Linked DNA regions of Macaca fascicularis. The protein of the gene in region 1 binds, or shares a complex with, the protein of each later gene. Links are inferred from orthologs where the notes say so. Each region holds a gene or a part of one and is shown on either strand. Other genes may lie near its edges.

Region 1 (3,649 bases):
TTTTCTTTTTTTAAGTATCTATAGCATATAGAGAATAGCATCTATTCACATAGAGAAATAAGAGAGGCCAGTTATAACTAGATCTGGGAACTGGGCAAAGTCTAAGGCAACAAATGTTTTCTTGCTCACCTGACCTTCCAGGTGTGAGATGCAGATTAAGGGCTGCCACATCCCCAGTATCTCAAACAAAGGATCAGACATCCAACAGTCTCTCCTTCAAGTTCCCTCTGATTTGAGTCATCTGTGTTTCTAAATGGTCATTGATACTGGTTTCTCTAAGCTCACCTACCCTGTGTCAGTGAAGAACCTGACATGTAATATTTGCTCAATATTTATCAAAGAATAGGATATGAAATTTTTTTGATAGAGAAAGTTGAGAGCCAGTTTATGAAAAGGCAATTTTTGTACAACTCTTTGTCAGTGTTGATTCAAATGACAGAGTTGTAGCTTAAAGAAGTGTATTAGTCCTTTGGTTGTAATGCGTGCTTTCTCACTTTAGGCAACAGAAGCAGCAGTATACTAACCAGCTTGCCAAAGAAACAGATAAGTACATTAAAGAGTTTGGATCTCTGCCCACCACCCCCAGTGAACAGGTATCAAGCTTTAAGACACATTGTTGATGCATTGAATGTGAAAAAAACCAAATACGTTGTAGGATCTTTGAACTGTTACGCTAGAAAGGAAATTATGCTAGAAAGGAAATCAAAAATAATTCTGTTTGAGATTAGTTCATAGAACACAAAACTATATTTAATTGCTCAGGTAGTATCCTGTGGTTCAATAAAGCAAAAATTATTTCCATGCATTTGCCCTGACCCATAATTAAGTAAGTTCTCAGAAAATGCTTCCTGAGTAATTATTTCCTGGCCTTCCGGGGCTGAGTGCGTGGAACATGCAGGCTCATTCAAGATGTGAGGTGTCCTGGGGGCATATATTTATTTCCCTGCTTATTTAATGGAAGTTATTACTTAGCTAAAAGTATAAGGCTTTATTTGCCTGAAAAGGAATTACTTTAAAATAGCCTCAAAATAATGAGCTAGTTTTTAGCAGCATGAAAACTTGAGGTGAGAAATCCAGCATAATGGGTCTTTTGCCTCCAGTTAAATATGCTCGGTATTTGACATACTGTCAGAATGTTGTTGAGAGTTAATCCGTAAGGCCCTGTAATTGGGGAGCAAGTGAAAACTTCAGGATTAAATAAAGAACCAAGTACTGCAAACTGTTTTACTTCACAGCTAGATTCTAGTTGGCTTTTTCTTCTCTTTCCTCTAGCGTCAAAGGAAAATACAGAAGGATCGCTTAGTGGCAGAGTTCACAGCATCACTGACAAACTTCCAGAAGGTTCAGAGGCAAGCGGCTGAGCGAGAGAAAGAGTTTGTTGCTCGAGTAAGAGCCAGTTCCAGAGTGTCTGTGAGTATTTTAAAAGACATTCTAGAAACGACCCTTACTTCCTAAGGGTCCTATCAAAGTCTATAGTAGCATAATTTTTTAAGTCATAAAGATCTGTGACTAACTTGGAAATCAGCACTTGAATATTCATTTTTATGCTTTTCTGCTCCATTTTTGGAGAAGATGATAATTATGTATTACTGTGGTTTTTTTTCTGTGTCATTGTACAGAAGATTACAGACTATATAAAAATATAGAGACGTATTTTGTCAAAAAAGATGAGGGATCAAACCCTGAGTAGTATTCTCACATCGTCTTGGTACGGAGGCTTTCTGCTTGTGGACACACTAGTATAGAAAGCACTTTCCTCCTGGATTACACCAAGATGACGGAGATGAATGGCGCAACTATGTTGTCTGAATATTGAAAATGAACATGAGCCTGGAGAAAATAAATGAAAGGAAGCTTTACAATAGAATTTTGAATTAATTTAATTTTAAATTCCCTTACAAACTATCACGAGTTTTCTTATTCATTAACATATGAATTCCAAGACTACATTAAGCTTTAACTAAATAATACTTATTTGACCCTTGAGAATGTTTAGTGTTTGTCTACTTAGAATATAAAATTACTTATAATTATGTTATTACTTGAAGCAGTTGACCTGAAAAATTAGAACAAGAACTTCTTTCTCTCTCTCTCTACACACACCACACACACACACACACACACACACACACACACACACACACAGAGACATGTACATAAATCGTTTAGATTATTAGGGAAAATATGAGTGTTTATTTTTTCTCATTTTTGCTTTCTTTGCCACTTCTCATTCCATCCTGTTACTAAATCATTCAGGGCGGTTTTCCTGAGGACAGCTCAAAAGAAAGGAATCTTGTATCCTGGGAAAGGTAAGAAATACAAAACATTTTTCAGATCAAAAGGTAATTTTTCAAAGTTTATACATTAAGGCCCCTGGAACAGAATTAAAGCTTTCAATATAAGTTGTTTATATGTTGAAAACAGAGTAAATTTGAAAAAAAATTTAATTATAAAGTATTTATCATAAAATATATAAAATTTTCCAAATAAATGTTTATGGACTTAATTAATAATATAGACTTTCCCTTATATGAGGTTTAAATCAACTAAGAAGAAATACCCAGTTGACAAATATAGCTTCCAATAATTAAGTAATAACTCTAAACTCACGTTAGATAAAATGATATAAGTGAAATGAAAAATGAATAAAATTTTATTCATATATCTGTTATAGTCTTAGAATTTTTTAAGTGAGTAGTTCTGCGACTTTGAAGAGTAAAACGTCCTATTTAATGAATATATCTTAAATAGGAAATGAATCTCATTGTTTTGAATACCAATCTTTGTTTTTTTCCACATTCATTTTTTTCTGTTAGCCAAACTCAACCTCAAGTGCAGGTGCAGGATGAAGAAATTACAGAGGATGACCTCCGCCTTATTCATGAGAGAGAATCTTCTATCAGGCAACTTGAAGTAAGGCTTACATTGTAGACTTGGGCTGCTACCCTGTTCTTAGTGAGTTTGTTCTCAAAATGCTTAGGTAATGCTGGCAGAGCGTACGAGAAAGAAATTTTATTTTTTTCTTTTTGAGACAGTCTCCCTCTGTCGCCCAGACTGGAGTGCAATGGCATGATCTCGGCTCATTGCAATCTCCATCTCCCAGATTCAAGCGATTCTCATGCCTCAGCTTCCTGAGTAGCTGGGATTACAGGCATGTGCCACCCCAACCGGCCAATTTTTTGTACTTTTAGCAGAGACAGGGTTTCACCATGTTGTCCAGGCTGGTCTCAAACTCCTGGTCTCAAGTAATCTGCCTGCCTTGGCCTCCTAAAGTACTAGGATTATAGGTGTGAGCCACCATGTCTGGCCCAGAGAAAGAAAATTAATGTATCAGTTTGGTAGCATTTGTAATGTATAAATTAGAATAATTCCTTTTTGAAAAAAATAATATTGTCCTTACTGTTTGTGCTAGGATGAGGGAACATACTCCCTCCTACTGCAGCTTTTAAAAAATTATGATTCTATTAAGCCATCTATGGACTACCTTAGTATTGAGAAAATACCAGTGTAGAGATAAATGTCTGTCCGAGAGTCTGGATGTCTTCCCAGGATACATGATACACATCATACGTGCATGAGTAAGACCTTTTATAAAGCCTTCAAAGAATTTTATTTCTCTTCACTATGTTTAGACATCAAAGAGATCTAA
Region 2 (3,749 bases), on another chromosome or scaffold:
GCAATAATCCTAACTCAGCTTCCCCAAGTGCTGGGATTACAGGTGTGAGCCACCACGCCTAGCCTGCAGTCTTTTCCTTTTTTTTTTTTTTCTGAGACAGAGTCTTGCTCTGTTGCCCAGACTAGAGTGCAGCGGCAGGATCTCGGCTCACTGCAACCTCTGCCTCCTGGGTTCAAGCAATTCTCCTGCCTCAGCTTCCTGAGTAGCTGGGACTACAGGCAACTGACACCATGCCTGGCTAATTTTTGTATTTTTAGTAGAGATAGGGTTTCACTATGTTGGCCAGGCTGGTCTTGAACTCCTGACCTCAAGTGATCTGCCCGCCTCTGCTTCCCCAAGCACTGGAATTACAGGTGTGAGTCACCGTGCCCTGCCTGCAGTCAACTTTTCAATCACATAAATCAGATCCCACAATGGTTCTGCACAATATATTTTAACTGCATCCCATCATATTTAGAAAAAGGCACAAGTCTTTCACCATGGTCCACAAGGCCCTACATGATCTGGCCCTGCCTACCTCTCTCCTTTGCTCACTTCATCCCAAACACATGGAACTTCCTGCTCTTCGTTGAACACACCAAGCTCATTTCCGCTTAAGGGCATTTGCAGTGCTATTCCCTCCTTCTGACACTCACTTCTCCCAGATTTCTGGTTTACTCCCTCTCTTCATTCAAGTCTCAGTTCAAATGCCATCTCCTCACAGAGGACTTTCACAACCGCCCTATTTAAAACTGAAGTCCCGAGGAAAGCGGATCGCTTGAGGTCAGGAGTTAGAGACCAACCTGGCCAACATGGTGAAACCCCGTCTCTACTAAAAATACAAAAAAAATTAGCCAGGGGTGGTGGCGCAACTGTAATCCCAGTTACTCCAGAGGCTGAGGCAGGAGAATTGCTTCAATCTGGGAAGTGGAGGCTGCAGTGAGCCGAGATCGTACCACTGCACTCCAGACTGGATGACAGAGTAAGACTCTGTCTCAAAAATAATAATAATAATAATAAAATAAAACTGAAGTCCCATCCCCTATTCCTTTACTCTTATTTTCCTGTATTCTTTAACACTGCCGCTTAATAGTTATATATTGTTTATCACCTACCCACTAGAATGGGGACGTGCATGTCTTTTTCACTGTAATTTGCAATATTCACCAGCACCTAGAACAGTGCCTGGCACACAGCAGCCTCACAATAAATATATATTAAATACATGCATTTCATTCTCACCAGAGTCATTCAATTCCTATGACCTTGAGTAATTCGTTGAGCAAACACTCAAGCTCTGATCCTTAAATAAAAGCAATAAAACAAAGTTTTGTCCTTGCCATCAAGTTCTACATATCCGGAGGCCAAGAACTATATATAGCAGGTCTTCCTATGGATCTAGGGCCGGAAAACTCTAGCTCCTCCAGACAAAACTTGTAGCAACCTGAACCATGAAATGAAGGGGTAGTAAATAGTCGCAGCAGTAAAAACGTTCAAAACAAGACCACATCTAAACGCCACCATAAGGTTTTAAAGGCCAGCTCTCTACCCTCCAATAACAGGTATATACCAACGCCCCAAATTATGACTCTTTTGGGTTTTTAACCCTTTTTCTGTGCTACAGATCCTCTGTCAGTCTGGTGAAAACTAGACCTGTCTTGAGACTAGTGCTTCTAAATGCATAAAACAAACAAAAACAGCTACGAAAGAAACCCACGCTACATTACAGGACCGCAGATGTAAAAGCCCCTCTGCTCTGTTTGCCGCAGTGGAAAAAAACGAGAAAATGTGGAAGGCCATAGAAGGAACCCAGGGAACTGAACCCCGCGTCCCTGGGCGCGTCCCCAATTCACTCTCAGTGGCAGGGAGACCCGGGGTTGCGACCCAGCCAGCCCTAGGGGGCGTGTCTGAGGACGCGGAGGAAGGAGACGCGGGCCCGGGTCTGGGAGGAAGGTGGGGGAAAATTCCAAAGCGCGCGGGGCCGCGCTCCCCACGGCGTGGCCCACCCGCGCCTCACCGGTCCCAGCAGTCCCCAGCAGCCGCTCGGGCACCCCTTGTAGGTCTTCATGGAGGCCGCGGAAGATCTCGTGCAGCTTCTCGAAATGCTCCGAGGAGGCGGCGGAGGCGGCCATGGCGCAGGACGCGCTCGAGCAGCGGCCACCCAGATTCGGGGCTCTGGGCCCTCTCCTAGCCCGGCGGTCAGCCGCCCAGTCCCGTGGCCATAACGGCGACCGCCGCACCACCGCTGCCCAGGACGAGGCTCTTCCGGGGCCGCAGAAGGGTCCTCCCGAGCCGGAACGCCCACCCTCTCTAGCCCGTGATTGCGGGAGCGCCGGCGCGAAGGCCTGACGGGAAGGCAGCAGACTGCGCGGCCTAGGCGACTCCTGAGGGAGCGAGCGGGGCGAATGGTAGTCGCAGAGCCCGAGAAGTGCCCGGTCCGGGGTGGGGAAAGGCCGCAGAGAAAGGGCCCTAGGGGACCTGCGGGACGGGCAGCTCGGCCGCCTTCCTCCTGGGCCCCGCCGGCCGGCCAGGGGCGGGCGCTGCAGTGCACGCCGGGGGATGTAGTTTGACTCGGAGAGCGTCTGGTGCCGGAGTCGCGCGTTGCCCGGGGTGCCAGGTTTAGCCCGCGAGGCGACAGCGGGCTTCGGCCCGATTTGATGTGTGTTTGCGTCTAGACGTCGTCCTCACTGTCATCGCGCTTTGCTTTGCCACCCTGACCCGAATTCCGCATTTCGCGTTTTGACCGAATGTTAGCTTTAGGCCCTGGAAAGAGCCGGGCCGGGGGCTCTGCCTGCAGTCGGGAGGTGGAGCACTTTTCCTGGAAGGCCCAGCGGCTCCCCAAGCTTTCAGAAGTGGAACTCGGCCGGGCGAGTGGCTCACGTCTGTAATCCCAGTACTTTGGGAGGCCGAGGTGGGAGGATTGCTTGAACCCAGTAGTTCGAGACCAGCCTGGTCACAATAGCGAGAGCACTACCGGAAACCCAAAATAGGAGCCGGGCAAGGTGGCGCGCACTTTTGGCCCCAGCTACCCCGGAGGCTGAAGCAGGAGGATTACTTGAGTCCACAAGGTTGAGATTGCAGAGTTCCCACCACTGCACTCCAGCTTGGGAGACTTTGCTCCCAAGTGGAGGGTGACCTTGTCTCCAAACGAACCCAAAAAACAAAAATTCAAAAGTGGAACCCAGTTAGGATGACCTCGAAATACTCTAGCTGCTAGGCTGCCTCGTGCACTTGTTCACAACAGGTGTTTGTCAAGCGTAGGCATTGCGAGGGATCTGGGCATGTTGGTGAATAAAACATTTACTCTCTGCTCCGGGGGAATTTATAATCTGGTGTGGAAGGTGGGCCTGGCTTCATTAGGTCTCATCTGCCACTAAGTGTCACTTGTTAACAATTACAAGGTCCTTTCCTGCACTCCATGGGTATAAATGCCGGTCTTCAGGTTGGGCATGGTGGCTCAAGCATTATCCCAGCACTTTGGGAGGCCGACGCGGGCGGATTACTTTAAGTCAGGAGTTCGAGACCAGCCTAGCCAACACGGTGAAACCCCCATCTCTGCTAAAATCACAAAAATTAGCCGAGCGTGGTGGTGGGCGCCTGTAAATCCCAGCTACTCGGGAGGCTAAGGCAGGAGAATCACCTGAACCCGGGAGGTAGTGGTTGCAGTGAGCTGAGATCATGCCACTGCACTCCAGCCTGGGTGACAAAGCAAGATCCTATCTCAAAAAAATTAAAATAAATTCTTATTTTCACCGATTTCACGGTTTGCT

What was found. Proteins that work in one complex are often made in the same cells at the same time.
Region 2: STX7 (region 1) and VTI1B share a complex: the UniProt entries of both Homo sapiens proteins name them as parts of the SNARE complex. The link is inferred for Macaca fascicularis from reciprocal best matches to the Homo sapiens genes STX7 and VTI1B.

Annotation. Positions count from the first base shown.
Region 1 is NC_088378.1:36,426,573-36,430,221, reverse strand, and holds part of STX7 (syntaxin-7), read left to right. Parts: intron 1-499; coding exon 500-593; intron 594-1,272; coding exon 1,273-1,410; intron 1,411-2,256; coding exon 2,257-2,309; intron 2,310-2,816; coding exon 2,817-2,913; intron 2,914-3,649. UniProt on the Homo sapiens protein: May be involved in protein trafficking from the plasma membrane to the early endosome (EE) as well as in homotypic fusion of endocytic organelles. Mediates the endocytic trafficking from early endosomes to late endosomes and lysosomes.
Region 2 is NC_088381.1:135,577,426-135,581,174, forward strand, and holds the start of VTI1B (vesicle transport through interaction with t-SNAREs homolog 1B), read right to left. Parts: upstream 2,266-3,749; 5' UTR 2,112-2,265; coding exon 1,997-2,111; intron 1-1,996. UniProt on the Homo sapiens protein: V-SNARE that mediates vesicle transport pathways through interactions with t-SNAREs on the target membrane. These interactions are proposed to mediate aspects of the specificity of vesicle trafficking and to promote fusion of the lipid bilayers.